Linked DNA regions of Mus musculus: regions 1, 2, 3, 4 and 5 are each reported to be linked to region 6. Evidence: microRNA targets listed by miRTarBase, many of them from high-throughput screens and not tested one by one. Region 6 holds a microRNA gene; each other region holds the end of a gene's coding sequence.

Region 1 (5,073 bases), not on the chromosome of region 6:
TCCAATCACTCCGGAACCACCATGGGAGGCCACTATACAGCCTACTGCCGAAGTCCGGTTACAGGCGAATGGCACACTTTCAATGATTCCAGGTGAGAGATGGAATTCCAGCAGGGTTCCGTGACAGCAGTCATCTCATATGGCTTCCATCTTGAATGGACAGAACCATCATACCACGTGTATGCTGCCCTCTCTGGGACTGTCAGAGATAGATAGGTATGGTGGCTCACTAATCAAATACCTGAGAGGTGAAGGCAGGAAGGTCAGGATTTCAAGGTCATCTGCAGCCACTTAGTGAGTTCGAAGTCAGCCTTGGTTATGTGAGACCCTGTCTCAAAAAATGGGTTGGCACTGAAGAAGTGGCTCAGCAGTTAAGGGTTCCCACTGCGGTTGCAGAGAACAGGGGCTCGTTGCCATCGGCCACCATGGACGTACATAAGCACATACACATGGTATTTAAAAATAATGGGAATCTTAACAACACACCTCTCAAAGGACAAGAGGCAGAAGTTACCTTGGCATAGAGAAGTTAGAGGCATTGGCTCAAGCTCAGCCTCTCTGCTGTGTCCCCCATGGCCTTCCTCAACAGGCTCTGACTTTTCCCTGATCTTTCCACAGTGTCACACCCATGTCCTCCAGCCAAGTGCGCACCAGCGACGCCTATTTGCTCTTCTATGAACTGGCCAGTCCACCCTCCCGTATGTAGCATTGAGGAGCTGCGGCCCTTCCCTCTTCCCTGTGGTGGCCCCACGTCCTAAGTTTTTTTTAAAAAATTCAGAAAAAAAAAAAAAAAAACACCACAAAAAAAAAAAAACAAAAAACAAAAAAACCAACAAAATCCTGACAAGTGAGAGAAAAATAAAGTAAAATAAAGCTGCCGAGCAGAAGTTGATACAGCCTGGTCAGGGTCTGGAGTGAGGAGCCATGTGCCCCTGCGCCACGCATGCACACGCACGGCCTGGCAGGAAGACGGACTGATGCGGAGACAGTCAGCAGCATCCTCGGCTCCTCGGCTGGCTTCTCTCGTTTGCATTTTTAAGCTTGTGGTTTTTTTCCTGTGTGTAATAAAAACAAGAGCGGTCTGTGGGAGAGGACCGTCAGCCCACCTGCTGCCCCCAGTGCCACACCTGCTGGGAGGACAGCGCCATCTGGAGCCTGCTGGGAGCATCGCTGCTGGATGGAGCTAGGGAGGAGCCTGCGGGAGGCCGTCCTGCCTGGACCTGCTCACCAGTCCAGAGAGGAAACGCCCATGAGCCAAGAGCCCTCTTAACGCTGCTAAGTCCAGGGGTACAGATGAGGGTGACATCTTTGAAAAAAAAAAAGCTGGTTTGGGTTCTCAAAAACCCAATTTTTTTTTTTTAATTAACTGTAACGAACGTGTTCCGACTGGAGATGTGGTCCTTCACACCTCTCTTCACAGCTGGGACATTGGGCTGGCTCCCTGTTTTCTTTTTTTTTTTGTTGTTCGGTTTTTTCTTTTGTTTTTTTCTTCTCCAAACACAGCCTTCCTAATGCTAGTCCCCGTGTGCTGGGTGAGTGTTGGCTGGGCCCAAGCATCGTCACAGTAGACCTGGGATCTAAAGTTACTCTGCTTTGAAGTTGCTTTTTCTTTTCCCCTTTAATATTTTGAATGGAATCTAGTTGCCTCCAAGAATTGTGCCTTATAGCATTTGGGGACCAGGGGATAACTTCCCCTTCCTGAGATATCTCCCTCAGCTGCTTCCCTTTATCCCCGTGCCATGTTGAAAGCCACTTGGGGTTGCGGGGTCCTGCCCTGAACCCCTGGCTTGTTGTGCACAGCAGTAAAAGAGGGAAGTGGGTAAATGGTGATTCTTAAGATAGTGTATCAAGCTCTTCCTACCACCCTCTCACCCACCCCGGTCTCCCCAGCTGTTTGAAGGACAGCACAGGCTCCTTGCCCCTCAACTCCCCCCTCCCTTTAATTTATTCTCTTTTTGATGCCCTTATCCCCCAAGCTTCCTGCCACCTGTCCCTTTCCCAGAGTCTCTTAGACAAAGGCCCTCTGGACTGAGCTTCTCAGGGACACCCACACCACCCCTTACCCCATCTTGGCATCAGTCTTTGGTCCTGTCCTGGGAGTGTGAGCCTGGATGGCTGGGGTTAGCTTGTATGATTCTTTGCCCTGACGTTAGACAAAAAAAAAAAAAAAAATACTCCATGCTGTCCCAAGAGCCAAGCTATTCAGCACTAAGGCATTTCGCACAGTGCATTTTGCACCCCCCACAGGTGGGCCTGGCTTATGCCCTCAGAACCTCGAGTGCTTGAGTGTCCCAGGACAGGGCACCCAAGAAAAGACACCCTGAGTTTACCTGGCCTGATACCCTTCTCTAGGGAAGACCTGTGAACATGAGCCCAAGGGCTGGTGTACACTTGTTTACTATGTAAGCAAGAGTAGAATGTCTAGTGTACAGTGGAGCCTTGTACAGAATAAATAGTAGCTTTGAGAAGGAAGCTGGTGTGACGGTCTTGATTTGGGAGGGGCTTGTATCCGGGATGCTCCCAGCAAAGTGAGGACCACACAGTTCACTGCTTTTGCCATAAGTGCTGCATCCTAGCTTACCCACTTGTTAAACTTCTCAATTATTTTTTGTTCCTTAAATAGTACATATTTCAGATGCCATATGCCACATCTGGATTCGCAGGTTGCGTTTGTCCACGTGTTTTATTCTTTTAGCCAAGATGTTTAGAGATGAGGCACATCACACTTCCAAAGACCCCAGCAGCATCTTCCAGACAGAACCTGCCAAGGGCACAGTGTGAACACCTGGGGAAACGGACACATCTGGTGGTACCCGGGCCATCAGTGGGGAAACGGACACAGCTGGTGGTACCCGGGCCATCAGTGGGGAAACGGACACAGCTGGTGGTTTCTCTGCCTAGCTGGCTGTAGCACTGTAGGCATTGGAACAGCAAAGTCTTCTCTAACCATCTTCTGTTGTGGCACAAATACCTGTGTCACTTGGGGCCTGTGTGTGCTCCTGGTTGGCCAACCTCACGAAGGAAGACAGCTTTCTAACCTGGGAATTTCATGGGAGTGAAAAAGTAAGATAACTTTTATTATTCTAGACAAGATCTCATATAGTACAGGTGGCCCTCAAGCTGACTAAGGCCTCGGATGAGCTTCTGTAGGGACTGAGACTCCATTTTAGTTGGTACTTGGGATTGAACCCAGGGCCTCTGGTATGCTAGGCTGGAGCTCCACCCAGCAAACCACACTTGTAGCATAAGAAGAAAGATTTAAACAAACCTCGTGACTCCTCTCTGAGGGACTTGGACTCCCCCTCCCCACCCTGCCCCCATACACCCTAGGAATGGCAGGACCATGGATGAGCTATCTCAAAGCTGGTGGCTTCTCCCAGGCAGACACATATAAACAAGACTCTCTCCTAAATAGAAACTGGGTCGCTGCCAACTTAAAGGTGCCTCGTCTTTTCAGTGATGGTAGAAGCCACCCTGTGCATTCCGTTCTCCAGAGGACAGACTAAGGAATTAGGGACTGGAGTCAAGCCTTTGCCCTTGCTAGCAGCTTTCCGTTCTCTGCCTAGCCTGTGGCGCCATCTCATCCCCATGGTAACAGTCCCTAGCACTGCACCAAACCCCAAACACAAGCAGGTCTGTCGCAGGCAGGCGTTTCTTTGTGATCTGTCGCCTCCTAGCAACTTGGATTATTCCGCCTGTTCTTAGCTGGTGTTCCTGCAGGCCTGCAGGCCCTCACTGAGAGAAGGTGCTGCCTTTGCAGTTGACCTTGAACAAGAGCTCCCTCTGGGTAGGCCTTCAAGGCCTCGTTTAAACCAAAGGGCTCTCTCTGCTCACGTCCTCCAAACACACATTTGAATTGGGACTTACACACCCATACTTCCCTGGCCCAGTTTATAGTTTGTTTTGTTGGTTTTCTACATTTATTCTAGGACAGCATGTGGACACCATGACATACATACATATGGAACTTTTGAGAGTCAATTCTCTCTTTCCTCCATTTTCAGGAATGAAATTCAAGTCATGGGTTTTATAGCAAGTTCCCTTACCAAAGCAGTAGCAATCGCACCAGCTAGAGAGATGGCTCAATGGTTTACAACACTGACTGCTCTTCCTGAGGTCCTGAGTTCAATTCCCAGTACCCACATAGACCTTACAACTCTCTGTAACTCCAAGATCTGACACCCTCACACAGACATGCAGGCAGAACACCGATGCACATAAAAAATAAAATTAAAAATGCAGGGACAGACCTTGTGCTGGGGATTTGGTACCGTGCTAGCTATCTTTCCAGCCTCAGAATTAAGTAACCCAATTCATATTTTTTGAATGTTTAGACTTGAGCCTTTAGAAGCCGCCTCATCCCTACTGTCTTATTGACAGTGAGGGTTCGAGACCTGTCAAAGGCCGCACCACCTGGCCATGCCTGAGACAGGACAGATCTCACCTAGTTCTTGCTCCATCTGGTTGAAACAATTCTGGTTGAATTGGTGACAGCATTTGGCAGGACTCTTGGCAGAATTCTCCTACTCCATTAGGACGCAAACTGAACAGCCATGTAATATGCAACATGCACACGTGCCCAGCAACAAAGCCAGCATGAGCTAGCTGTTTGAGCTAGGTCTGTTTGAGCTGGACACTTCCAAGGGTCCCCACCCTTCAACATTCATGAATACAACAACTCTGTGTCAGTTGCAGAGGGCAGGAGGAAGTGGGCAGCAACCATAGCCCTCTCTGTGCCCAGTATCCTCATCTCTAAGCTGATGGTGAGAACACCAACTCATCATGAGGCCTACATGAGAAAAAGTGTGGCACACAGTGACCAAATACCTAACAAGAAAGAAGTTATGGCTAGAGAGGCGCACAGTGGATGCCTAAAAGCATGCACTACACAAATGGACTTGAGTTCAGTCCCCACAGTGGAGAGATCTGGTTTCTGGAAGTTGACCTGTGACTTTCACACTCACACCTGCATGTCCACTCATACACAGAGACGCATACATCTTTTATTAGATAATATCACTACCTAATTATGCATTATTAGAGAATAATGCAATATTTTAGAACTGGGTTGGC
Region 2 (5,066 bases), not on the chromosome of region 6:
TAGGGACTGCCCTCTCCCTTCACCCCTTCCTCTCCAGAACCCACAGTCCCATTTAGTGGAACCCAGCGGACTTGACGCCCACTCTCCAATCTGAGAAACTGAGGTTATCTGTTTCTTTCCTTTCAGCTCCAGGGCTCCCTGTCCGGCGTGGGTGGGGAACCACAGCTGTCTGTCTTTAGCTTCCTTTTGTCTCCCGTTCCTCTTCTCTTTGCAGAGTTCTTTATTGATGGGCTGGGGAGACTGTTGGTGGGCTCTTGCCCGGGTGTAATTATAAACCACCAAGTAAGAACACCACCAAAGGATCCAAAGCTGGCTGCCTTGGAGAAGACTTATGACAAATACCGGGCCAACACCAATTCTGTGATCCAATTCAAGGTTGCACTCCAGTACTTCAAGAACCATCTCTACTGCTCCACTTAAAAAGTACCAAGACCAGGAATCGCAATAAACAGATTAGCGGCGGGCAACAAAAAAAATAGTAGGATTGGACATTGGAGGGTACCAAAAGCAGACTCCTAACAAGGGGAACAGGGAACAAAGAAGCTGGAAGCTGGAGCTAGGGTAGGACCCTGAAGTCGGCTCAGGACCCCCAAGACCAAATTCTCAGCACAGAGATTTATCTGCCCTAGAGAGAGAAAGGGCAGGGAATGAGACAAAGACAAGGGCTGGAAGGTGGTGGGGCACACCTTTAATCACAGCACTCCGGGGGCAGAAGCAGGTGGATCTCTGCGCATTTTGAGGACAGCCTGGTCTACAGAGAGAGTTCCAGGACAGCCAGGGCTACAGAGAAACTCTTATCTTAAAAAGGCAATAAGTTGATCTAAAATAATGTTATTTAAAGCCAGATGATAAGGTTGGTGTAGTGTTGTGATCCCAAAGCCCAGTAACTGAAGTAGGAGGATTGAGTTCAAGGCCAGCCTGGGCTATGTAACAGCCCATCTTTAAATGAGTGACTAGGGGGCTGGAGAGAGCTCAGTGCTTAAGAGCGATTAGGACAGAGGACCTAGATTGGCTCCCAGGACCCACATGATGAGTCACAACTTCATACCTGCAGTTTCAGGGAATTGGAAGCATCTGCTTACCTCCAAAGGCTCCTGCATATGAGTGGTGCATACATACACGCAGGCACACACATATGCACACAAAATACGCTTTAAAATAAATGAAGGAATGAGTGAATGGCTAAATATTAACCAAATAATTCCGATTTTATTTTGTCAAGACTGCCTGGCCTAGCACTCACTGTGTAAGACTGACCTCACACTCATGGCAATCCTCCTGTCTCCACTTCCCAGTGCTGAGGTATGAGGTGTGAACCACAATTTCTGGCTTGGATTTTTAAAAAGAATTTACACACACACACATACATACACACACACTGTAGCTGTCTTCAGACACATCAGAAAGGGCATCAGATCCCATTACAGATGGTTGTGAGCCACCATGTGGTTGCTGGGAATTGAACTCAGAACCTCTGGAAAAGCAGTCAGTGCTCTTAACTGATAAGCCATCTCTCTAGTCTCTAGCTTGATTTTTAAACTTTGACTTTTAAATATACTTATTCATTATAATTTTTTTTCTTTTTGAGACAGGGTTTCTCTGTGTAGCCCTGGCTGTCCTGGAACTCACTCTGTAGACCAGGCTGGCCTCGAACTCAGAAATCCGCCTGCCTCTGCCTCCCGAGGGCTGGGATTAAAGGCATGCACCACCATGCCCGGCTTATATTTTGATTTTAATGGGATATTAAGATGGATGTTAAGATTGTGAGCTTTCAACCCTGTCTCGGAAAACCAAAAAAAAAAAAAAAAAGAAAGAAAAGATTGTGAGCCTTCATGTGGTTGTTGGGGATAGAATCTCCACTCACTCCAGTCAACCCTGTTCTCAGTCCCTGCTAACTCCGGCCCAAAGATTTATTTATTATTATAATTATTATACGTAAGTACACTGTAGCTGACTTCAGACACACTAGAAGAGTGTCAGATCTCATTACCGGTAGTTGAGTCACCATGTAGTTGCGGGGACTTGAACTCAGGATCTTTGGAAGAGCAGTCCATCCTCTTACCCTCTGAGCCATCTCGCCAGCCCATTTCAACACTCTGAACATACTTACACTTTATTTTTTACTTCCTGAGGTAAATATTGCTCTGAGCTAGACCATAGAAAGCCAAACACCAGTGGGTAAGGAGGCGAGGAATGACATGCCAGCTAGTTGTGGTGTGGGCCTTTAATCCCAGCCTTGAATTCAGAGATCCTCTAGCCAGGGCTAGGCAGTGAGCTCTGTTTTGTTTTGTTTTGTTCTGTTTTCAGAACAAAACCAAAATCAGGGGCTGAGGAAATGGCTCAAAAGGTGAAGTGTTTGTTACCCAAGCATGAGGACTTGAGTTCAGATTCCCAGAAGTAAGGCATAGCTGCCAGTCTGTAACCCTGGGCATTCTCACAGCAAATGTTAACATCCTCCATTTTGACTGGGTTGTCGTTAGCATGCTCAAACACAGTCTTTTCTCTACTTCAAGATCTAGAACCATCTCTCCAGAAGAGAGAGAGAGAGACAGAGAGTGAGTTAGTTTCCTATGATCCAGTAACACCTCTTCCCCAGGAACACAGGATGTTCTAAAAGGACATCCATTCAACTCAAAGGGTTCAGGGACTCCCTGAAACCCACCAGACAGACTAGGCCCCCTCTTTTCCAAGTATATTAGCTGTGAAGACTGCTGAGAGGCACTCTCAGACAAGTTGAGCTGCCTGAAACAGACATTCTCTAACCTGTTGAGCTGTCTGCAAGTTGTACAGAGGGCTTCAAGTTTACAGCTTTTGTGACATGGTGAGCTTTCATGGTGCCGCTGTCTTTCGAGTCATTTGTGATCCTGCGGTAACCCCTCACCCATACTTCTGTCTGTAACCCCAATAAAACTCATCAGTCTGCTATACTGGACTCGGGTGGTGTGCTTATTTTGATCCGTCATTGGTTCCTGATTGGAGTGAGTACATGTTTGTCCCCATCTTCCCAAGGTTAGTGTCACATGGCAGGGTGATATTAAGAGTCTCTGAGCACAAAACTGGAACATTTCTTCCTTTGGGTCTTCCCGTGTCCCAAAGCAAGTGGCTCAGTGACCAAGTCTGTTAAAACATTAGCCACATTTAAAGACTATGAAGGCCCAGGGCCCACTCTTGAGACTGCCAGCCACATCAAGTGGAGTGAGAGGGCAGGTTAAAAAACAAAAAACAGAAACACAACGAACCCCCTTCCTGCTAATTCATACTGCAGTAAGCAAAGACAGGGAAGCAATCTTTTTTTTTTTTTTTTTTTTTGGTTTTTCCAGACAGGGTTTCTCTGTATAGCCCTGGCTGTCCTGGAACTCACTTTGTAGACCAGGCTGGCCTCGAACTCAAAAATCCACCTGCCTCTGCCTCCCAAGTGCTGGAATTAAAGGCGTGCACCACCATGCCCGGCTGGAAGCAATCTTTTAATGCCACCAGAGGAACACAAGTAGGGTTACAGTGAGTGTGCCAGTTCGATTAAGTTAAGAAAGAAGGTGTGGGGAATGCCTGGGACAAACCTGAGCATGGAGAAGTGGGGACACAAAGGCAGTCACTGTCACCTACACACTCGCTGTAGGGATATAATCCTCTTGAGAACCCATACCAGGCCAGTTGTGGTGACAATGTCTTCGATCTCTGGTCTACAGAGCCAGTTGTGGGGCAGGAGAGCTACAGAGCTATATAGTGAACCCTGGAAAGTGGACCGGGAGTGGGGGGGGGGGGCGGGGAGGGGAGGGGGAAATTATGCCAATGTGTCCTGTGCAGTCATGGGACCCTTTCGGAGGGTGGGGCAGGTCTCTATGTAGCCCTAGCTCTCCTGGAACTCACAGAGATGAGCCTGCTTGTGCCCACAGAGTGCTGGAATTAAAGCCATGTGCTACCACGCCCAGCTCACATGGCCTTTGTAAGAATGAAATAAGCGGGAAAATAAATGAGGTCTACAAATGCCTAGTGTTCAAGCACAGCCTTGAGGTACTGGGTTTCAGACCCAGGACAAGAGGCTGAGGTTTTGGTATTTTACCAAAGCAGACCTGGCCTCCAGGTTCTCCCAGCATCCCTCAGTCCCTACTTGAACTCTGCAGCCCAGAGGCTGGGCTTCTCCTCAGAGGTTCTTCACTATATAATCCAGACATTTTGTTTTGGTCTGGGCATCCTGTACCCCCAGCCCCCTCTGCATTTCTCTTCCCCCCTCCGCTCTGTCTCCTTGTCTGCACGGTGACCTCCCTGGTCTCATTTCTTGGGACTGGTGAACCTGCCTAAGAGCTGCCTCCAATAAACCTGCCTTTATACTTTAACTTGGCATGAGCTGGCTCATTTCATCGTCGGAGATAACCTATCAGGAATCTCAATGTCAGATGGGGTTAATTCTCAAAATGGAAACTCTGTAGTGTTCCTTCTGATAATATGCAAGAGCTACAAACTACTTTTCTTTTCTTCTTACTTTTTTGTTTGTTTGTTTGTTTTTGGAGACAGGGTTTCCCTGTACGATAATAGCCCAGCCCTGGCTGATCTGAAACTTATTCTGTAGACTGGACTCAAACTCGCCTGCCTCTGCCTCCAGAGTGTTCAGATTAAAGGCGTGCACACCGCCCGCCATGCACACCCACACTAGAAAATCTCTTATCCATTCACTCAGGGACAAACTGTCAGACTCTTACCAAATGAGCGCTTGGACTTGGACTAACTGCATTCGTGACTGCATGCACAGAAGAGGAATTTAGCAGAATAGTGGACAGCTCATAGCACTAGAAGGGGGTAGACAAAGCAAGCTCAGGGAAGTGGCCAAGAATCCAGGGACTGAGGCAACCAGGGGCCCAACAAGGCCAGTTTGCTTGGCATGTCACCTGAGAGGACAGTGGGCATGGCCTGGCTGCCTTACTGCACTGAGGTCAATGGTGTCGAAGACACCACCAGAACTGGATCCAGTTTTAAAATCTCTGGTTCCTGGGTGTCAGTTGTTGGACTGAGTTCAACTGGCCAAGCTAAAGATAGTCAGGCCGACGCACACAAACACACACGCTTACACA
Region 3 (5,073 bases), not on the chromosome of region 6:
AAGCTGCAGCACTGCTACAGCAAGGGAGGAGGTGGACACGGGAGCATGGCCAGCCGCACAGTGGCAGGAAGAACAAGAGATCCCCTACCTCAAAACCAGTTCCCTAAAGCTGTTCTCTAGCCACAAACTTGCCATGACACAAGCATATATTTACACACACAAAAATTAAAAATCAAGTGTGCACAGAGCCAGAGAGATGGCAGAGAATAAAGGCACTTGCTTTGCAAGGCTTGTGACCTGAGCTGCAACTTTGTACCCCTCAAGTGTGCATAGCATAGGCAGTATAACCGACATCGTTTCTTTTGTGTCAGTCATACACTGGATGAATCATTGCCAATACATGCTATGGATGGCACATTAGCAAGTCCTGTTTCTGATGTCTTTACTTCCATGTTTGATAAATTGCACAAATTCTTCCAGATGAAGACATGCTATTGTGCAATCAGTATCTCTGGCGGGGTTGGTGTCTTCCAGGACTAGACTGTAACGTTCTCGGTGACTTGCCTTGTTTTCACTAGCATCCATGAAGAAAGTGAAATCTCTTCGAGACCCTTCTTCCAAGATGTCAAAATCGGACCCTGACAAACTCGCCACTGTTCGAATAACAGACAGCCCAGAGGAGATTGTACAGAAATTCCGCAAGGCTGTGACAGACTTCACGTCAGAGGTCACCTACGAGCCGGACAGCAGAGCTGGTGTTTCCAACATGGTGGCGATCCACGCGGCCGTGTCGGGCCTCTCGGTGGAGGAGGTGGTGCGCAGTAGCGCAGGCTTGGACACTGCACGCTACAAGCTGCTAGTGGCCGATGCTGTGATTGAGAAATTTGCTCCAATCAGGAAGGAGATTGAGAAATTGAAAATGGATAAGGACCACTTAAGAAAGGTTTTACTTGTTGGATCTGCAAAAGCCAAAGAATTGGCCTCTCCTGTGTTCGAGGAGGTGAAGAAGTTGGTGGGGATTCTGTAGCAAGGTCAGCCAGTCACTGCACTCAAGTCAAGGCAGCTTTCCTCCCACAGATTTTAGCCTGTCCAAATTCAATTGAGTGTGATGATCAGCTGCATTTGATGACTGCTGTCAATTGAGCAACGTTCCAATCCCTGAGGCAGGCACAGCTCTTCCACTCCAGTTCAATGACACACAGTTTTTTGGTCTGAAGTATTCCCGAAAACGTGAACAATTACTGAGCCATGGCGTGTGCTTGCTTGTGCAGTATTTACTGTGCAGGTGCACTTTGTCTGTGTTGTGCAGACAGGTCCTATGCTGCAATCCTGAATCCAGTGGGTATTTGCAGTTCATAAAGAGAGGTTCATTCTTGCAGCTCATGTGATGATGATGTGATGATGTTTATCCTCATGTATTGGAATGACTTGACTTGTGCTAGCAAGGTGGCTCGGGCTCAAGGTACCTGCTGCCAAGCTGAATAGCTGGAGCTCAATCCACAGGGCCAGCATGGTGGAAGGAGAAACTGACTGGCAGGTTGTCCTCTGACCTCCGCTTGTCTGCCATGGTATGAGTACACACACACACACACATGCGCGCCTAAGTAAAAATACAATAACCTACTTGTTTCTTAAAAGGCACACACTGACTTACTTATTTCAGCAAATGTCTGTACTTAAGTGATCCAGGAGGTCATTGGAGAGCATTATATTGCTTCAGTTCCATCTATTTATTATACAGGGCCTGTGTTCCTGGTTGTATTCATAATAAGCACTTCTATTTTTACATTCATCTCAGTTTAGTCTCACCAAACCCTACCTCTGTGGAACACATAGGAACTGAGGGGTAGAACATGGAATTAGCTGTACAGTGTCACTAAGTAAATAAGAAGCAAGTCCAAGAGTGAAGGCCTAGCTCCCCTGCTTCCAAGACTGGTGCTTTTTAAGACTTCTCCCAAAGCTCTGAGGGCCAAAGTTTTGGACCTCTAAACATTCCAGTATTCAGTTTGGATACTGAAAAGATAAAGGCTGAAATACTGATTTTTGTTTATGTGAACTCAGCTAATGGTTGTGTATTTTAAATCTGGATCCAGCCACCTCTGGTCACACTTACCTTTCAAAACCCCAAAAATGGGTCCCATGGCCTCACTTCCAAATTCATGCTGGAGATGCCTGCTTGTCTCGGCCAGATTCCAGTGGGAGCGAAGTCTAAAGCATCTGACGTTTCCAGTGAAGGGAAGCTTCCCGTCTCAGCCTGCCTCAGGCTCTGTGAAATCACAGAGTATAGCTCTGCACGTCCATGTTCACAGCTGAAACGAATGGCAGTCCTGGCTTACATCCCAAGGCCTGTATCAAGATTGATTTTGCAGGGCCAGCAAGATGGCTCAGCAGAAAAGGGCTCCTTTTGTGAAGCAAGCCTGACTATGTGAGTTCAATCCCTGAGATCCATGTGATAAATAAAGGAGAGAACCAACTCCTCAACGTTGTACTGTGACTTACACACACACACACACACACACACACACACACACACACCACAATGAAATGCACAGGACTACCCACACACAAAAATAAATAAATGTTTACTTTTAATGTTAAGGTTGAGTTCACCTCGATTGTCACATAGAATTGGAAGTAGGAGACACTGTATCCCAGAGTCCAGATTAAAACACCAACTAGGTTCGGGAAAAGGGTACATTTTACTTTTGGGGGGGGTGCATGTTGTTTTCTTAATTCATTTATTTATTAGTGTATGTGTTTGAATGGGTGAGATCATGCTAAGGTGTGTCTGTCACGGTTGGAGGATGATTAGTGGGGTCCGGTTCTCTCCTTCCACCACGTAGGTTCTGGGACTCGAGCTCAGGTCATCAGGCACACTTTCCCGTTGGGCCAGTTAGTTTTATCTTTTGCACCTTAGTGGGAGATGTCTGCAGTCTGAGAGCATCACTGAGTGTATTTCTTTTAAAGATCTTTTTTACTTTCCTTTCGTTTTATCTGTTTGCATTTGTGTGTGTATGTGTGCGCGCGCGCACGTGCGCATGCATGCATGCCACAAAACATGTGTGATGTCAGAGGACAGTGCAAAAGCTGGCTTTCTTCCACCAGGTAGATTCCAGGGTTCAAACTCAGGCTGTCCGGCTTAGCAGCAGGCACCCCTGCCTACTGAGGCAGCCCACCAGTACCTTTTCACCTTCCTTTTAAAGAAATCTATTAGGAATACTGGGAATTGTATCTACCAGGCCAATTGCCTGTTTAGCTCTGTGGTCTCTACCTCCTAGCAATGCTTCTGTCTAGCAAGAACTAAAGGCAATAGGAAAAGATCTCCAAAAAAAAAGAAAAAGTGTAAAAGAGAGGGGGAGGGAACAAAAAACACAAAAACACTAGAACAGGATAACGTCTAAGGAACAGGGTCAGTGCATTCTGTTATGTAAGACTCTTACTGCAGAAAATCTAAATTTGCCATATAATTAAGATTCTTGCTCAATCAATGTATTAAAGTTCCCCAGGGAAACAAGCCCAATAGGACACATAGAAACAAAAGAGAGTGGGCTGAAGAGATGGCTCAGGGGTTAAGAGCATTAGCTGCTCTTCCAGTGGTCATGAGTTCAATTCCTAGCAACCACATGGTGGCTCACAACCATCTGTAATGGAATCTGATGCCCTCTTCTGGTGTGTCTGAAGAGAGCAACAGTATACTCACATACATAAAATAAATAAATAAATGGTAAGTTCTGAGAGACAGAGAGACAGAGAGGAGAGGAAGTTAGTTTACCAGGGGCTGGAGCATGGCTCAGTGACCAATGGCATGAAGTTTTTTTCCCAGCACTCATGTTGGGCAGCCCACAACTGCCTGCAAATGCCAGCACTAAGGGGTCAGATATCTCTGGCTTTAGCATGCACCTGTATTCACATAACTAAAAATTACACACTTAAAATAATAACAATTTGCCATATGGATTGGGTCACACTATTACAAGGACTGGGAGAAAACATAGCATGCTGTCTTTAACCTGGAGACTCAGGACAGCAGCGTAATCCAGACCAGACTTAAAGGCTAACTTGTCAGTGGTGCATAGTCAGTTCAAGGAATTCAGAGCCAAGAGACTGGACAGGGACTCCTGTGCAAGTCCCGGAGTCTGGGAACCATAAACTATGACATTCCAAGATGGGTCAGCTCAAGGAAAGAACAAACTGGCCTTTCCCACATTTTTGAGGCGGCCCCTTGATGGATTGGTTAGGACCTGCTAACATTGACAAGGATAAGTCTTCATTTACTGACTCAGTGTCCAATCTTTTCTAGAAATACCCTCAGACAACCCCCCTGAAAAAAAGTAAAATTAAAAAAGAAAAGGTTTCACTAGCTATCTGTTACACCCTGTCGCCTCAGAAGCTGAGAGCAAAGGCTGCATACAGCCTAGTGTGCCTCTTCACCCCTTCCCATTGTTGTTTACAGGCCCAGCAGGTTGTTTTTTTCTTGAGACAGGGGCTCTACATAACCCAGGCTGTACTGGTCTACTGTGTAGACCAGGTTAGCTTTGAACTGATAGAGCTCCTCTGCCTTCTGGATGCTGAGATTAATGGAGTGTACCACCATGCTGGCCCAAGAATAAATAAATGTGTGTGTGTGTGTGTGTGTGTGTGTGTGTGTGTGTGTAGAGTTAGAAATACAAACAACTGACAACTATGGTTGACTTCAAAAGGAAAATTTTATTGTTATTTCCTATTAGCTCTATAGAGAATGGAAATGTAAAAATATTTCAAATGATAATGTTATAGCAGTCAGGCAGCATGGTGCCTGTAACTGTGCCTCCTGACAAATCCCACTGCACACTACCTTGTCCAACTAGACCCTCTCCACAGTGAGTAGGTTCATCTTCATTGGTTTATCTTTTTGATATATGATAGTTATCAGAGTATTACCAGAAAATGTGCTAGAGACTTCTAATAAAGTGTGATTCCCCCACCATGATTCCTGCTCCCCCCAAAAAAACACCCTTCCAGATGCACACCACAAGTGTGGTTATCACAAAGCAACTCCCAGCACTATCAGTTCTGATGTCTATTGGGTACAGTGCTAAATGTCTGCAACCATCACCTACATAAATTGTATAAAGGAAACTATTTATTTTTACT
Region 4 (5,073 bases), not on the chromosome of region 6:
CTCAGGAATCCATTCTGTCCTCCTGACCCACTTCCCAAAGTTCCCATTCCCAAATACCTTCAACCTTGAGGACTTAGTTTCTAGTACCTGAGTTCCAGGGGACACTCAAGTCATAGCACTTAGTGGTGAGTGGTGGCACCTGGCATCTGACCCTGCAAGGGTGGTTGGGCAGTATGTGCTGCAAGCAGTAATTAGAGATCTGCTTCTGGTGTCTTCAGGTGCCTGTTGGTATAGTGTGACATTAAACCCTGGGAGGTGAAGGGTCTCTTTACAAGAGAACACTTTATGTAACACTGGCTTTCCCTGGAGAAAAAGACGGTTCCAACATTGACTGAATCTCTGTCCTTTCCCAGGGCTGTGGCTAGGGTGCTTAGTCAGTGTTTTTAGGAGGGGCTGAGCAAAGGAATAGTAACATGGATTATTAGAAGTTTCTTTTTTTCTTTTTTTCCAGAGTCACTTATTTCTGCAATTCAAGGTGATATTGAAGAAGCTAAAAAGCAACTGGATTTACCCGAACATTTGAAACTCAAAGATGATAATTTCTTCCAAGTTTCTAAAGGCAAAATTATGAATGGCCACTAATGAAAAGTCCCTTACCTGCCTACCACTAGTGTCACGCATAGTGTCACAGTGCTTCTGATACACTCTCATCTTGATCATATTTTAAATCAAGCGTTTTCCTGTAGCTGTCAAGTGGTCTCCAGCAGTTCACTCCATCATGTTGCACAGTACTAAGAGACTCATTCAGAAATCAAGACTTTAGATGTAATATGTTGATTAAAATGTAGCACTAGAAAGCTTGTACTGAAAATAAAGTCTGTGAGTGTGGGTGGAAAAGCAAGTTCCTGAGGAAAATGAGGACTGACCATAGTTCTTGTGACTGAGTGTGCTGGCACTGGTGAGCCCAGCCAGCCTGTGCTGAACAGAGGCTTTTCAGGAAGTGCACCACACACACACACACACACACACACACACACAGAGCTTACCCATGAAGGAAAAATTAGAGTTACTTTTCTCATTTTGTGCATTGATATATTTTTACAATCCTGCAAACTTCCTTGAGTCACTCACGACTCCCCCTGAGGTCACTTCCTGGTAGTGTCCCAATGCTCTGTGTGCAGTTACTTCAGGTTGAAGTTGCCTTGATCGCCTGCCCCTCATCAGGGCTTTTGCTTTTCTTCAAAGTACTGAGGATCCAACCCAGTGCCTTACACGCCAGGCAAGTGTGACCACTGAGCTAGGCTCCCGCCCCCTTTACTTTTTGAAGCCATACAATGGATGTCTATATGTTGCCTTTTTGAAGATTAGGTGGTTTTGCTCTTTAACATTTTTGTGACTTTGGTTTATTTTCTTCCCATGTCGCCCAGAGATTACTTGTGTGTGTGCCATTCTGCTCAAAACTAAATGGTGGTCAGGTTCAAGTAAAGAAAAATAAAACAAGCTGCATTTATAGACTTGCTTGGAATTGAAATGAACATAGCCAGTTCCTACCCAACCCTGCCCTGCCTTTTTTTTTTTTTTTAAAGTGTGGTCCTGTGCTTTCAAAGTAAGTACAGTTCTCTATGACCAGGCACTTAAACATAATTTAAAAGTCCTTGTAGCTTCAGAACCGGATAAGTTCCAGTTGCATATCTCTATATCTCCTGGTTTCCCTCTTGGTTTTCCCCTGGTTCCTCCCCTTTCCCTCTTGGTGGCCTGAGTTGTTTATGTTGGCAGAAGGTTGACATTGGATGCTCGATTGCTTCAGCCTCACCGGGGCATTGAATCATCATTTGTTGAATGGCAACAGGTTTGCTGGGGCAGAGGCACTGCCTAAGTGGGAGCATGCACGTGAAAATAGAAAGGTAATTTAACAACACACAGACACCCAGAGACTTGGTCTCTGCATGTGTGTAGAAGTAGTGGTGTGGGGAGGGATGGGACTCACTCAGCCCTGTGAATGTGTTCTATGGCTGAGCAACATCCCTAGCCTTCAGAATAGAATTTTTGATGTTGGAAATCCTGTATTTAAAGGAAACCTTAATTATCAATGGATTTATGAAGGAAAGTTAAAAACAAATATGCACAGTACAAAATAGATCTGTGGCTTTTTTTTTTTAAAGTAAGAATAGCTTGTTAGTATATCAATGTTCATGGCTAATGTTATCTCATTTTGTTAGTCGTTATTTTGGAATTACATGATGTGTGATTTAGGGCTTAGTTAATTCTCTAGAATTCAAAAACTATTATTGATGTATTAAAAGAAATTACGGTACCACGTTGATTAGTCTGAATGTTTGCAGGCATTGGAATAAAATTTGACTTATTTTTTCCCTCTTCCCCTGTCAACCTGAATCCTGTATCTGTTTGGGGTATACTGGCTGTTTGTTACTATACACCTGTATTTACAATCCTGAGTAGACCTATCAAGTAAGGGTGCTCATGTGACTAAGAGCTTTATTTTCAAGGACCCTCCCCCTCCCAGTCCCCCCATCTCAGGGGTCTTTCCTCCTTTTAAAAGACCTTACAAGGTCTCTATATCTGGCTATCCTTGAAAGTACAGAGATCCATGTGTGTCTTCCTTCTGAATGCTGGGATTAAAAGTGTGCATCAAGCCTGGCCAAGACACACACACCACCACCACCACCACCCACCCACCCTTTAAAATTCCTGTAGCAAGGTGACTTTACATGGAAAGGATTCAGAGGATATCATTACTCAAAAAGTCAACTCTTTAAGAATAAAGGTTCCTATTGGGAGCTAAAGGAGCCAGACAAGTCTAACTCCTGTATAATCCTCAAGATTGTTTTGTAACCATGGATGTGCCACAACCCCACACATTGCTGCAGGGCATTCTTTCCATTTGTTACAAAGAAGTGCATTTCAGCACTCATCTGAATGAACTCTGAGATGACTTAGCAGCTTGCAGGTAGGGCACTTAGGTGATGGGGAGGTGTGAGAACCAGTGACTTGAAACTTACAAGGACCATCTTCCTTTCCCAGTGCTGTTGTCTTCCAGTTCCCCCTTGTACTTGGGACAGAAGTGAGACTGATAGAGAAAAATCAGTTTCATTGTTAGAGACTGAGCTAGAAAACAAATCAGATCTGCCAAAGAGGATGTGATCATAAGTCAGAAACACTGGATGGAGAGTTTTCTACAGACAGCAGAGAGTGAGTTCTTGAAAGGACTGCATTCCTGAGAGTTACATGTCTCTGTAACTCCATGGAAGTTACAGAGACAAAGTTCAGAGCTGAGATGGAAGGAAGGACCATCCAGAGACTGACCCACATGGGGATCTATCCCATATACAACCACCAAACTCCGACACTATTGCATATGGCAACAAGATTTTGCTGACAGGAACCTGACATAGCTCTCTTGTGAGGCTATGCCAGTGACTGGCAAATACAGAAGTGGATGCTCTCAGTCATCTATTGGATGGAGCACAGGGTCCCTAATGAAGGAGCTCGAGAAAGTAGCCAAGGAGCTAATGGGGTCTGCAACCCTATAAGAGGAACAACAATATGAACTAATCAGTATCCCCCAGAGCTGTGTCTCTAGTTGCATGTGTAGCAGAGGATGGCCTAGTCGGCCATCAATGGGAGGAGAGGCCCTTGGTCTTGCGAAGATCATATGTCCCAGTACAGGGAATGCCATGGCCAGGAAGCAGGAGTGGGTGGATTGGGGAGCAGGGCGCGGGAGGGTATAGGGGACTTTCGGGATAACATTTGAAATGTAAATGAAGAAAATATCTAATAAAAAAAGAAATCCCATAAGCATAAAGTATTAAACCATAATATATAAATAAAGCATGTGTTTTGAAAGAAAGAAAGAGATAGAGAAAGAAAAAGAAAGAAGGAAAGAAAAGAAAGAAAGAAAGAAAGAAAGAAAGAAAGAAAGAAAGAAAGAAAGAAAGAAAGAAGAGAAAGAAAGAACTGAATGTATAGAGAAATGAGCGTGGCCACGCTATGTAAAGGCTGTGGAAAACCAGGTATGGTAGCATGCTCCTGGGGCTCTAGCGTTAGTGAGGCTGAAGCAAGAGCACTTCAGCACTGAAGTCTGAGGAGACCAGCCTGCCTCAGCACAGTAAGATTATCTTTAAATAGAGGAAGAGGGGCTGATCTAGGTATGTAGTTAAGGGGTAGTGGCTATACTTAGTATGTGTGAGGCCCTGGTTGCAATCCCCAGCACCAAACCCAAAATAAGAACAAAGTCACCAGCGTATAGTGTTCAGAAAGCTGGGAACCAGGATGAACCTTCGAGTTGGCTTTCTGTCCATTGCTTTGCTTTGGTTTTTGACACAGCAATTCGTTATGTGTGTAGTCTAGGCCCTTTGGGAATTCACTGATGTCATTGTGCCTTGGCCTCCCAAGTGTTGGGATTATGAGTGCTCTGTCATGCCTGGCTGGCAGTAAATACTATCATGCTACTGCTCAAACCTCAAGTCACATGCGTGCTAGGCAAGCAGTCTGAACAGCTCCACCCCAACCTCTTGAACCCTTATTACTTGTTTCTGGCAAGAACATTTAGTATATCTTAGCATGAGGTCTAATTTGTGTATAGCCCTTGCTGACCTTGAATTCAGAGATCCACCTGCCTCTGCTTCCCAAATTCTAGGATTAAAGGTGTGTCCCACCATACTCAGCTTAGCTTGGTTGGCTTGTTTCCTGTTTTGTTTGTTTGTTTTTTATTTTGTGTTCATTTGTATGTGTGTATGTTGTGTGTGTGTGTGTGTACACCATGGTGTGTCAGAGGATAACCTTGGGAGTTCTCGTCTTATCAAGTGGTTCCTGGGATTGAATGCAAATTGTCAAGCTTGGCAGCAGTTGCCTTTGTAACACTTGACCATCTTGCTCGCCTGGGTAGTAACTTTTAAGAAACAGGGCCTTGAGTTTAAACTGCTACCTAAAACTCCCCAAGTGCTGGGATTGCAGGTGCGTGGCCCTGTGCGGCTGAACTGTGAAAACTTCTACCTGGGTTTCATTAGGCAGCTTGCTTCTTCCTCTGCAGGCCACATCTCCCATTTTTATACCAACAGCTTTATTTTCTCCATTTTATGTGCATGAGTGTTTGTCTGCATGTATGTCTGTAAG
Region 5 (5,073 bases), not on the chromosome of region 6:
TGACTAAACTGCAGCAATCACGCCTGAGCTGACAGACAGGCTTCCAGTTGAAAAACATTTTTTCTATTTTCCCTGTGTTCAAAGAAAACTGCTTGGTAATTGTAAGAAACCTAAGAACATCTTTCCCTGTGCTCTGTGGTCTCCATTAACTTTCCCCTCCCTCCCTCCCTCCATACCTACTCTTAAGCATCCCTAGTAAAATCTCTTCACAAAGAACCCCCTCCATCCACCTCTCTGTGGCCTGCTGGGTGGCTTTGGGTACATTTCTTACCCTCTCTGTTTAAACTTATAGGAGAATTATCTTTTTGACTTTAGAAATATTGTAGGAATGGGGAGTTAACTGATAATACTCAACAGAACCCAAGTATGGCCACCAACCTTGAAATAATTACTCTCTAAAATAAGAACTGTCCTTACCCTTAACAATCTATAGCTTGAAGTTCATGGTGTTATCTGTGTTACTTTTTAAAAATAAGAAAGAGAGAGAGAGAGAGAGAGAGAGAGAGAGAGAGAGAGAGAGAGAGGAAGGAAGGAAGGAAGGAAGGAAGGAAGGAAGGAAGGAAGGAAGGAAAAAAGAGAAGAAAGAAAAGGAAGGAAAGGAAGGGAAGGGAAGAGAGAGACAAAATCTGCATGCAATGAAGACTCTAAACTCAAACTTCTAGTTGGCCAGAAACTGATGGGAGAATGGAACCAGCCCAAGCACTGCCCTCTCCTGGCTGTGGATATTGTGCACTGTGTCTTGCCTTCTCCCTGCAGACAGGCTCTCAGCCTCCAGGTTGTAGGGGATGCTGGTGGATTCTAGCAGCCTGTTCTCCTGAAAACTGCCCCCATCTGGAGAGTTGCCCTGGTCAAGGTTCCCTATTCCCCCTTCTATGGCTCCAACATGGATGGTTGTACCGCCCATATCCATTGGGACTTCTCTGAAAGATCGTACGTACCACAGTGCCCCTAAAGATGTCTCTCTACTAAACTCCAGGTGATGCTTTCCCCTGCCCCCTTTGGACCTCGTGCTTCTTCAACTATGATTATGAGAATCCTCCCACAATAAACCATCAGCTTGCAACCCTTCATTCTAGAATCTGTTATCCCAAGAACTCAGCCTAAGACATCTGTCTGCTACCTGCTCTCAGTCTAACAACATGAGTTACACTGTCCAAGGGAAAGCCAGGTCCTTACTCCTTTGTATAGATCCATTCGGTGATCTATGCCTCATCAGAATGAAAAGACAAGAGCTTTGCTGTCTACATGTGGCATTATCCTTTATGGAACTTCTGTCTCTCCTCTATCATATCAGCTACAATGGTTGGTCCTCAAACTCAACACATAGGCTCTGCCTGGAGACTTTCGCATTTGCCCTTCTCCAGTTTGGGTATGCTCTTTGTCAGACCATCTTCCTACCTCCATCCCTCACTCCTTGTAGCCTTCTAGACTCAACTGTCACCTCCTCCATGAGAACCCTATACTTAAGCCTGCAGGTCTCCACTGACATCTAGACCCCACACCCTTTCCTTACCCTGGCTTTCTCCTCGGCAGTACCAGGGTCTGGAACACTGTGTTTTCCCATATCCATGTTGCTCAGTGCCCATCTTTACTACCAAAACCTAAGTTCCCTGAAACTAAGCTGTCTTCCCAGAGGCCACTGAGAGTAACTGGTACATAGCAGCAGCTGGCTCCGCATTGATTGCAGGAGCAATCAAAGAATCTGTGTTGGATTGCAAGGCCTGAAACCTTCAGGGCATCACTTAAAGGTGTCTCATTTACTTTAGCCTTGGCAGTCCTGGAACTCACTCTGTAGACCAGGCTGGCCTCAAACTCACAGTGAGTTTCCTGCTTCAGCCTCCTAAGTGCTGGGATCAAAAGCATTCACCACCACCACCACGCTTCTAATGTTTTATTTTTGTTGTATGTGCATTAGTGTTTTGTTTGTATGTATGTCTGTGTGAGGACGTCGGACCCCCTGGAATTGGAATTCCAGATAGTTGTGAGCTGCTCTGTGGGTGCAAGGAGTCAAACCTGAATCCTCTGGAAGAGCATCCTGTGCTTTAACCACTGGGCTATCTCTCCAGCCCCTGACTTTCTCACGAAAGCCATTGTCCTATTATCTTGGTGAAGTTTGTGCAGGGCCACATTTGTGGAAGCATCAGATAATACAACTACTAAATAAATGTGAGGTATAATTTTTGATTACACTGAATCCTTCATCAGTGAGCTAATTTTTTTTAATTATGCGCAAGCCACCAGATTATTTTTAAAGCAGGAATGTGACATTCAAACACAGAAAATCCTGAAGATGTTCAGATATGTAAATGAAATATAGAAAACTTTATTCCAAAGCTACACCCAAAATGTACAGTGAAATGCATCTCCTTACAGACTTAATAAAAAAGGGCCATATCTACATTTTAGATTTTACAACAATCTGCAGATCTTCTGCTCCCACCAAAAGTCTGATAAAAAAGTTAATCCCATTAATTAAAATTTTAAATGACTGTCTTTATATAAAGTATATTCTAATTGCAAAATATTCAAATACGGTTTCAGTATGAAAGTGTCCTCAGTTTCTGGAATCCTCGGTAGTCTGTGAACACATAGGTCCCTGTGCAGCTTGAAATGAGGTAAAAGGAAGGTTTTCCAGACACAGTCTCAGATGTTTGTCCTCGATGTCCGGGGCAACATGATCCTTCCACTCCCTCCCCTTCCTGTGGGACAGCCCCTTCTTCCCCTGCCTACCTAATATCCTGCACCCGGAACAGCAGCAAACCTGTCATTTAACAATTCCTCATGTTACAATGTTTTCCAAAGAATTTTTTTGACCCAAAGGGAAGTCCTGCCTATAGAGGGCCACTATTTCCTTGAAAGGTATTTTAATAAATAAAGTCTACAACTCTTTTAACAATTCCTGAAAGGAAAAGAGAGCAAACCTCCGAGGAGCTGTTAGTCACCAATATTTTATTTTGTAGGTCGCTTCTCTAAAATTTAAAAAATGAAGTCCTTGGCTGCGATTTGCTAAGTGCATTGTAAAAAAATTAAAAGTAGCTTCTAAATGAGATGCCGCAGATGTTAATAAGACACAAGCATCACACTGTACAATAGAACAAACCCATGGTTTCTGACTGTTGAGCTATGTGCTTAGCAGTAAGAAACAAAGGCAGTCCAGGGGAAGCCTGCTGCTGGGCATCCTGTTTGCTCAGTGCCACTTTCTTGGGGCTTTTGTTTTGATTGGATAATTCACAGGTCTACCGTGTTTTTAATGGCCTTATTTTAAAAATCAAAAAACAAATAAACAGGGAAAGTGTCTTCTCTTCATGTGGCTACTTGGCAGTGTTTTACAGAGACTAGGGTTACTTCCATTCTGCCAGAGGTAGATACACACAGCCGTGTGTGCTCACAAACACTGGCCTGATGGAAACTAAGACTTCATGCCAAGTCAGCATGAAGGGTCTTCACGGCTGAAGCGTCAGTGGAGATGGTACTACAGAATGTTCTGACAGGCTCTTATCAACACTGCCATTACATTTGGGGAGAACATGATTGAAATGAGATATAGAAACAAAATTAATAAATACAACAGCATGATCTTTGTCAGGCTCTTGATGCACGGAATCTGGAGTTGACTAATTACTGGTCTATAACGTAGTCCTATAGTTTGGTCCTGAGAATCACAGACTTAGACGTGTGTGTGTGTGTGTGTGTGTGTGTGTGTGTGTGTGTGTGGTGTTGCTAGGGATTAAACCCAGAGGCCCATACATGCAAGGCCAGCATTCTACACTAAGCCATGTGCCCAGACCCTACAACCATATTTATGAACATACAATGGCAAATAACAACAGTTCTGAGTTTATCCAAATAGATGAGTTTATCCAAATAGATGAAGCCATGACACTCTGGAATCAAGATCACATTACAGTTAACAAACACATATATCAAGTCTGAAGCCACCGATGTTGACAACTTTGCATCCCCACAGGAGAGCTCTGCCACACCAATGGGCATCTGCCCACCTTTGAACTATAAAAGTAACCTTTTTCAGTGCAAAAATACCTTTGATAAATAGCAAAGACACAATAAACACATGGAAGACTTAGCATCTCCTGGAGGTGTGCTTTCATATACAAAAAGTAACTCTGTAGACAGGCATGGTGGGGCACACCTGTAAGGTGAGCACTCAGTTGGCTCAGGCAAGAGGATCACTAGTTCAAGGTCAGCCTGAGCTATATTCAGAAGTAAAACGTCATGTTTCCTCTTACAGTAGGATATGACAGGCTGTTCTGCTCCTCTGATTGTGAGTCTATGGCTGTGAGAGGGTGTCAACACTCTTGGAAACAACCTCAACACTTCTATAGCTCATCATGTTTCTTCTTAAATGGCCACTGTGGGTGCTGCAGTACATGCTCTGCAGCCTGAAGGACAAGGTACATGAATTCTTCTACATCAAAAGAGTAGTTGGTAAACTTCGGGTGTTCTCCCAGAGTTGGATGGTGACCCTGCAGAAACAAACCAGAACAAAATCCCGGAGTCACCGAAGGGTGTGTCTTTCTATAGACGTAAAATCATTTTCCTTTGGCTAACGCAACTGTTTCAACTTATGCCGTACAACATGGGCTGGCAAGCTTTTCCCACAGAGCTCCCAATGATAGTTTCAGCTCTGCCAACCATCTGCTCTCAGTCATAGATGCCCTGCCAAGGAGATGCATAATCAAGCCCAGACAATATGCAGGCAAATGTGGCGGTACCCAATAAAACTTTATTTACAAAAACAATTCGTAGGCCAGATCTGTACCATTAGAGCTACTGTTTGCTGATGGCTGCTGTATGTAAACTGATGTAAGCTGTTTTAACAACATTGAGATTTTTCTCTAACTTGCAAATAAAAAATATTAGTATTCAAGAGACGAACAGAGGCTCAGTGATGGCTTGCATTTTAATAACTGGACTCCAAACCATTTGGTGAATGTTACCTTATCCTGAGGAAATACTTTGCTGGGCTTCCGCCAGGTGATGTAGTGGATGCCTCTGAGCCTGGCCAGGTCTAAGTAGCAGCGCTCATCTTCACAGTTGTACCTAAGGACACAA
Region 6 (5,073 bases):
TATGAATTTTGAGAAAGACAGAGAAGACCTGCCTGACCATTTCAAGTTAAATAGACAGAAGCCAGGACAGGGTGAAGTGGGTGAGGGACACCTGAGCCTGCCTAACCTGCTTCCTCACCCACAGTTTTCCAAAGACGTCTTGGTGAACATCTATTCGGCCTATATTGATAACTTCCTCAATGCAAAGGATGCTGTGCGTGTAGCTAAGGAGGCCAGGCCAGCCTTTCTCAAGTTCTTGGAGGTATGTGGACTGGGGTAGGGGTGAAGCTAACATGTCAGGCTAGCTCTGGGCATCCCAGGAGCTCTTGACCAAAAACATTGTGGTGCTTGCAAGTGTGTCAGCCTCTGCCTTTGGGCTCACCTGGAGGGACTTGGCTAGGAGCGTGTCTCTTCCTGCCGTGTCAGTCCTCATGTGAGAACTCCCTCCACTCTGCCTTCGGTTTCAGCAAAGCATGCGTGAGAACAAGGAAAAGCAGGCGCTGTCCGACCTCATGATCAAGCCTGTGCAGAGAATCCCACGCTATGAGCTTCTGGTGAAGGTAACCACGGGCCTGGCTGGACAGGGAGGCCCTGGGGGTCGGGGGGAGGAGTATGTCTGTTCTCAGACTCCAGGCAGGAAAGAAAGTCCTCCTTGATGCCTATACCATGGTCTCTCATGCTCCAGCAGTCAGTTCAATACCTCAGGGCAGCTAAACAGGTCTCCATTCCCGCCCCAGGACCTTCTGAAGCACACACCGGAAGACCATCCAGACCACCCACTGCTGCTCGATGCTCAGCGCAACATCAAGCAGGTGGCTGAGCGCATCAACAAGGGTGTGCGGAGCGCTGAGGAGGCCGAGCGGCATGCCCGCGTGCTTCAGGAGATCGAAGCCCACATCGAGGGCATGGAGGATGTACGTGCCCCACCCTGCCGTGCCCCAACTTGTCCCTGTCTGTGTCTTCATCTGTCACCCGGATTGTGGCCATCCACGTCCAGGTCTGTGGTCAGCTTGCTTCTGTGACCACAGTGCCCCACCCTTCTGTGTCCTCCTCCTCCTCCTCCTCTGTCTGACCTTGTGTCCCTGTCTGGCAGCCCAGTGATGCAAGCGAGGACAGGATGTCGCTCTGGCTGACCTCGTTCATAGAGTGGTCAACCGATCACTGCAGGGTTAATAGACTAATAACTAGTTCTCTCCTACCCACCAGCTCCAGGCCCCCCTGCGGCGGTTCCTGAGGCAGGAGATGGTTATTGAAGTGGTAAGGGTTCTCCCATTGGCTGTTCCCCCAAGTACCTTCAACCCACCCAAGTTCACTCTCTGGCGCCTGCTGCCCTCTGGTTCCTGCTCCCCAAGCACCACACAATGGGAGCCCTGCATGAATCCCGATTCCACATAAGTGGGGGAGAGCCCTCACCCCTCCCTTGGATTTGCTGTTCCTGGGGAACTAGGGTAATGTAGGTCGGCCTCTAGACTGTGCACACTGAGCCTGAATGCCACTTTGGACCCTACAGAAGGCAATTGGAGGCAAGAAGGACCGATCCCTCTTCCTGTTCACAGACCTCATTGTCTGTACCACCCTGAAACGAAAGTCGGGCTCGCTGAGGCGCAGCTCCATGAGCCTGTGAGTGGCCAGGGTGGGGCTGGGTGGTGCAGGCAGGAGAGCCATTGATCTATTGTGGGCTCTACTCCCTGCCCCAGCCAGAGCACCCCATTGGCTACCCACAGGTACACAGCAGCCAGCGTCATTGATACAGCCAGCAAATACAAGATGCTGTGGAAGCTGCCACTGGAAGACACAGACATCATCAAGGGTGAGGCTGGCTGAGTCTGTCAGGGGTTCTGCTGGTGGCTTTCCCCTGAGTCTGCCTGCCTGTCTGTTGGTTTGTCTGCTCTTGTGACTCATCTTTCATCCCATATGAGAGATTGGTTTTGAAGAACCGGGTTAGTTTCCATGCAAATCATCCTCTTAGTGCCCTAGCAAGTTCTCCAAGAGTTGGCCGTTCTGTGCCCTGTGACTCTAAACCAGACCTCTCCTCCCGGGCCTGTTTTTTTTTTCTGAGAGCTACCTGTTGACCTTGTTTCTGAGAGCTTGGGTCTGGAAGTGCTCCCATTTGCCAGACCAATCCCGTGCTCAGCTGAAGGCTGTGCGCTAAGGGAAGTGTGTCTGTCCAAGCTTGACCTTGTTTGATGTGTTCATGGCTTTCCTCTGTCCTCGCCAGGGGCGTCTCAAGCCACCAATCGGGAGACCATCCAAAAAGCCATCAGCCGCCTGGATGAGGACCTGGCCACCCTGGGCCAAATGAGCAAGCTCTCCGAGAGCCTCGGCTTCCCCCACCAGGTCTGTGCCCTGAGCTAAGGCAGTGTTGGCTGGGACTTCCCCTGACCTTGCCTGAGGGACAGACAGTCTTGGCTTTTGCCTGAGGGAGCAGTTGGTCCTGTCACTTATCTGAAGGGGAAAATTATAGTCTTGCTCCCACTTAAGGGAAGTGACAGGTCCGGGGTCTGAGGGAGGAGACCTCTGAGGGGGAGAAAGGCCCATCCCTGTCTGTGGCAGGAGGAGGCTGCCTTCCACGGTCCCCTCGGTGCAGGTGCCCATGTGGTGACACCTTGGCCTGAGGCCTGGGTTCTTTTCCCACAGAGTCTAGACGATGCACTGAGGGATCTCTCGGCCGCCATGCACCGGGACCTGTCAGAAAAGCAGGCGCTATGCTGCTCCCTGGCCTTCCCGCCCACCAAGCTGGAGCTGTGCGCCACCCGGCCCGAGGGCACCGACTCCTACATCTTTGAGTTTCCCCACCCGGATGCCCGCCTGGGCTTTGAGCAGGCCTTTGATGAGGCCAAGAGGAAGCTGGGTGAGCCAGAGTTCATGTTGGTGTCTTCTCTCACAGTCCCTGTGCAGTCCTGACTGTAGAAGCCAGGACTCTCTGAACTGCCCTCCTGTCCTCCAGCGGCCGATAGGGAAGGTGGCCTGAGACTTCCACAGTGAAGCAGCAGGCTGGACATTTGCTCTGGCTCCCAGCTTCTTCCTGGGGGGGAAGGAACTCCTGGACAGAGTCGTTTGGGGACAGGGACCCCAGCATACGCCTGAACCACCAAGACCTTCCTCTTCCTCAGTATAGACTCAGCTAAGTCCTGGAAAGTTATTATTAAGTCTACAGCTTAGAGATCCAGGGCTACTCATTGTACAGAAAGGAAAACTGAGGCCAGACACAAACGGAGTAATCCATGACCTCTCATTCTAGCTGAGCTGGTACCCGGCCCTCCCTAGGGAGACTGGAATGGGGAGGGACCAGAGCCACTGTAAGGTGGGTGCTAAGCAGGGGTTCTCTCCTTTTGCCCTGTCTCCTCTACTACAGCATCCAGTAAAAGCTGTCTAGACCCTGAGTTCCTGAAGGCCATCCCTATCATGAAGACTCGCAGTGGCATGCAGGTGTGTGTGTGCGTGTGGGCCATGTAGACACGTGTCTACTCAAAGCTACATACATGTGTATGAGGTTTTGTGCTGTGTACCATCTCACATATGTATTTTAAACATTGTGATTATTCCCCGTGTTTGAGTATATACACATGCACATTACATGTGTAATGTGTATGGCATGTGCATATGTGCACAGGCTGTAGATTTGAAGTCTAGTTCATACACCTATATGAGTTTTAATATCTAACCAGTAGTACCAGAGTCACATATTAATTAAACGCATACACTCATGGTCCTATTGGGAGTACATGTATGTGTACATACAGGTTTGGGCGACTTTTCTATCGGGCATGGTGCATTTGACTGATGTGTAGCATGGTACAGAGATGGATGCAAACCTGCCGCCCCTCTGTTCTGCCGGGGTCGGTCCTGACAGGATTCTGTCATTCATCTTTCCCTGTCCACTGGGGTTTCCCACAGTTTTCGTGTGCTGCCCCCACCTTCAGCAGCTGCCCAGAGCCGGCGCCAGAGGTCTGGGTGTGCAACAGTGATGGCTACGTAGGTCAGGTGTGCCTGCTAAGCTTGAGGGCGGAACCAGATGTGGAGGCCTGCATCGCTGTTTGTTCTGCCCGCATTCTCTGTATCGGAGCGGTGCCAGGCCTGCAACCACGCTGCCCGCGGTAAGGCTCTGGTGGCGAACCTACAATGCCACTAGCCTTTGGCCCAGTACATTGAATGTTGACCCGGTGGCGTTGGGCGGGGCTGGGAGGTGGGCTGTCCGTGGGCGGGGTCGGACGGGGTGCTCTCTCGGGCGCCTCCTAGTGGCATCCCTTGTTCTTTTTCCCTTTGTCTCTAGAGAGCAGCCAGAGCCCTTGAGAAACCCCCCAGAGACCACACTGGAATCCACTGGGCCAGAGCTAGATGTTGAGGCCACAGCTGAGGAGGAGGCAGCGACGACGCTGGCTGAGCCAGGGCCTCAGCCTTGCCTGCACATTTCCATCTCAGGATCGGGCCTGGAGATGGAGCCAGGCCCTGCTAAGGGTGACCCCCAGCCCGAGTTGGTGCCCTTTGACAGCGACTCTGACGACGAATCTTCACCCAGCCCCTCCGGGACTCTACAGAGCCAAGCCAGCCAATCTACCATTTCCTCCAGCTTTGGAAGTGAGTGTGGGGTGGGGATTGAGAGGACAGCAAGTGAGGGGACACCAGAGGAGGCAAAGGCTGGAGTCGGTTCACTAGGTGTTAGCTTCTACCAAGTGGGGGATGGGAATATGAAGACTCAGACACATCGGAGTCCTGGGGACCTTCGAGTACAGTTAAGGAAGATGGGTATTGGGTAGAGTGGCTAGTCCCTCCATCTAGATGTGGCTGGACTTAAGACAGCCAGGCAAGGACTGGGAACCTGTAGTGAGTGCTGAGAGTGAGCAGGGGAAAGGCCTTAGCAGATACGGGGACCAGGGGTAGGAGCGATGTGTCCAGGAGGGACACTGAGGCCTAGAAAGATGTCGGATCTCTGCCCGGTGGAGGGGAATAGGGACAGAGATCTTTGTCCCTTCAGATGAAGAGACCCCAAGCTCCAAGGAAGCCACTGCAGAGACGACCAGCTCTGAGGAAGAGCAAGAGCCTGGCTTCCTGTCACTCTCTGGCTCCTTTGGGCCAGGTGGTCCCTGTGGCACC

Evidence for each region. The annotated mature microRNA mmu-miR-3102-5p reads GUGAGUGGCCAGGGUGGGGCUG and lies in region 6 at 1,600-1,621, shown strand. An mRNA with a match to its seed (bases 2 to 7 or 8) in the 3' UTR can be bound and repressed. Matches are read on the target gene's strand: a 7mer-m8 pairs with bases 2 to 8, a 7mer-A1 pairs with bases 2 to 7 and ends in A, and an 8mer does both.
Region 1: the mRNA of Usp2 is a reported target of mmu-miR-3102-5p. The part of its 3' UTR that is shown has no 7-base or 8-base seed match.
Region 2: miRTarBase lists B4galnt2 as a target of mmu-miR-3102-5p. Seed matches in the 3' UTR shown: 7mer-m8 at 1,857-1,863.
Region 3: the mRNA of Wars2 is a reported target of mmu-miR-3102-5p. Seed matches in the 3' UTR shown: 7mer-A1 at 987-993.
Region 4: the mRNA of Rfk is a reported target of mmu-miR-3102-5p. The part of its 3' UTR that is shown has no 7-base or 8-base seed match.
Region 5: miRTarBase lists Eogt as a target of mmu-miR-3102-5p. The part of its 3' UTR that is shown has no 7-base or 8-base seed match.

What each region holds. Positions count from the first base shown.
Region 1 is chr9:44,093,156-44,098,228 of GRCm38, forward strand. It overlaps Usp2 (ubiquitin specific peptidase 2), which reads left to right. Exons shown (of 13, transcript NM_198092.2): 12 at 1-92; 13 at 619-2,472. The coding sequence ends at 706. It overlaps Gm38444 (a long non-coding RNA gene), which reads right to left. Exons shown (of 2, transcript XR_379336.2): 2 at 2,657-3,038. Among named protein-coding and RNA genes, the nearest start is that of Gm38444, 3.4 kb to the right of the region's middle.
Region 2 is chr11:95,861,425-95,866,490 of GRCm38, reverse strand. It overlaps B4galnt2 (beta-1,4-N-acetyl-galactosaminyl transferase 2), which reads left to right. Exons shown (of 11, transcript NM_008081.3): 11 at 215-2,932. The coding sequence ends at 420. Among named protein-coding and RNA genes, the nearest start is that of n-TQttg6, 4.7 kb to the right of the region's middle.
Region 3 is chr3:99,215,941-99,221,013 of GRCm38, forward strand. Wars2 (tryptophanyl tRNA synthetase 2 (mitochondrial)) reads left to right here. Exons shown (of 6, transcript NM_027462.4): 6 at 519-4,263. The coding sequence ends at 967. Among named protein-coding and RNA genes, the nearest start is that of Gm38468, 18 kb to the right of the region's middle.
Region 4 is chr19:17,399,022-17,404,094 of GRCm38, forward strand. It overlaps Rfk (riboflavin kinase), which reads left to right. Exons shown (of 4, transcript NM_019437.3): 4 at 452-2,328. The coding sequence ends at 582. Among named protein-coding and RNA genes, the nearest start is that of Rfk, 7.5 kb to the left of the region's middle.
Region 5 is chr6:97,107,723-97,112,795 of GRCm38, forward strand. It overlaps Eogt (EGF domain-specific O-linked N-acetylglucosamine (GlcNAc) transferase), which reads right to left. Exons shown (of 18, transcript NM_175313.5): 17 at 4,959-5,061; 18 at 2,302-4,484. The coding sequence ends at 4,338. Among named protein-coding and RNA genes, the nearest start is that of Eogt, 39 kb to the right of the region's middle.
Region 6 is chr7:100,878,936-100,884,008 of GRCm38, reverse strand. It overlaps Mir3102 (microRNA 3102), which reads left to right and starts at 1,600; the gene lies at 1,600-1,703. It overlaps Arhgef17 (Rho guanine nucleotide exchange factor (GEF) 17), which reads left to right. Exons shown (of 21, transcript NM_001081116.1): 4 at 125-241; 5 at 447-539; 6 at 717-893; 7 at 1,186-1,236; 8 at 1,490-1,599; 9 at 1,704-1,789; 10 at 2,198-2,316; 11 at 2,617-2,830; 12 at 3,335-3,408; 13 at 3,877-4,076; 14 at 4,253-4,557; 15 at 4,955-5,073.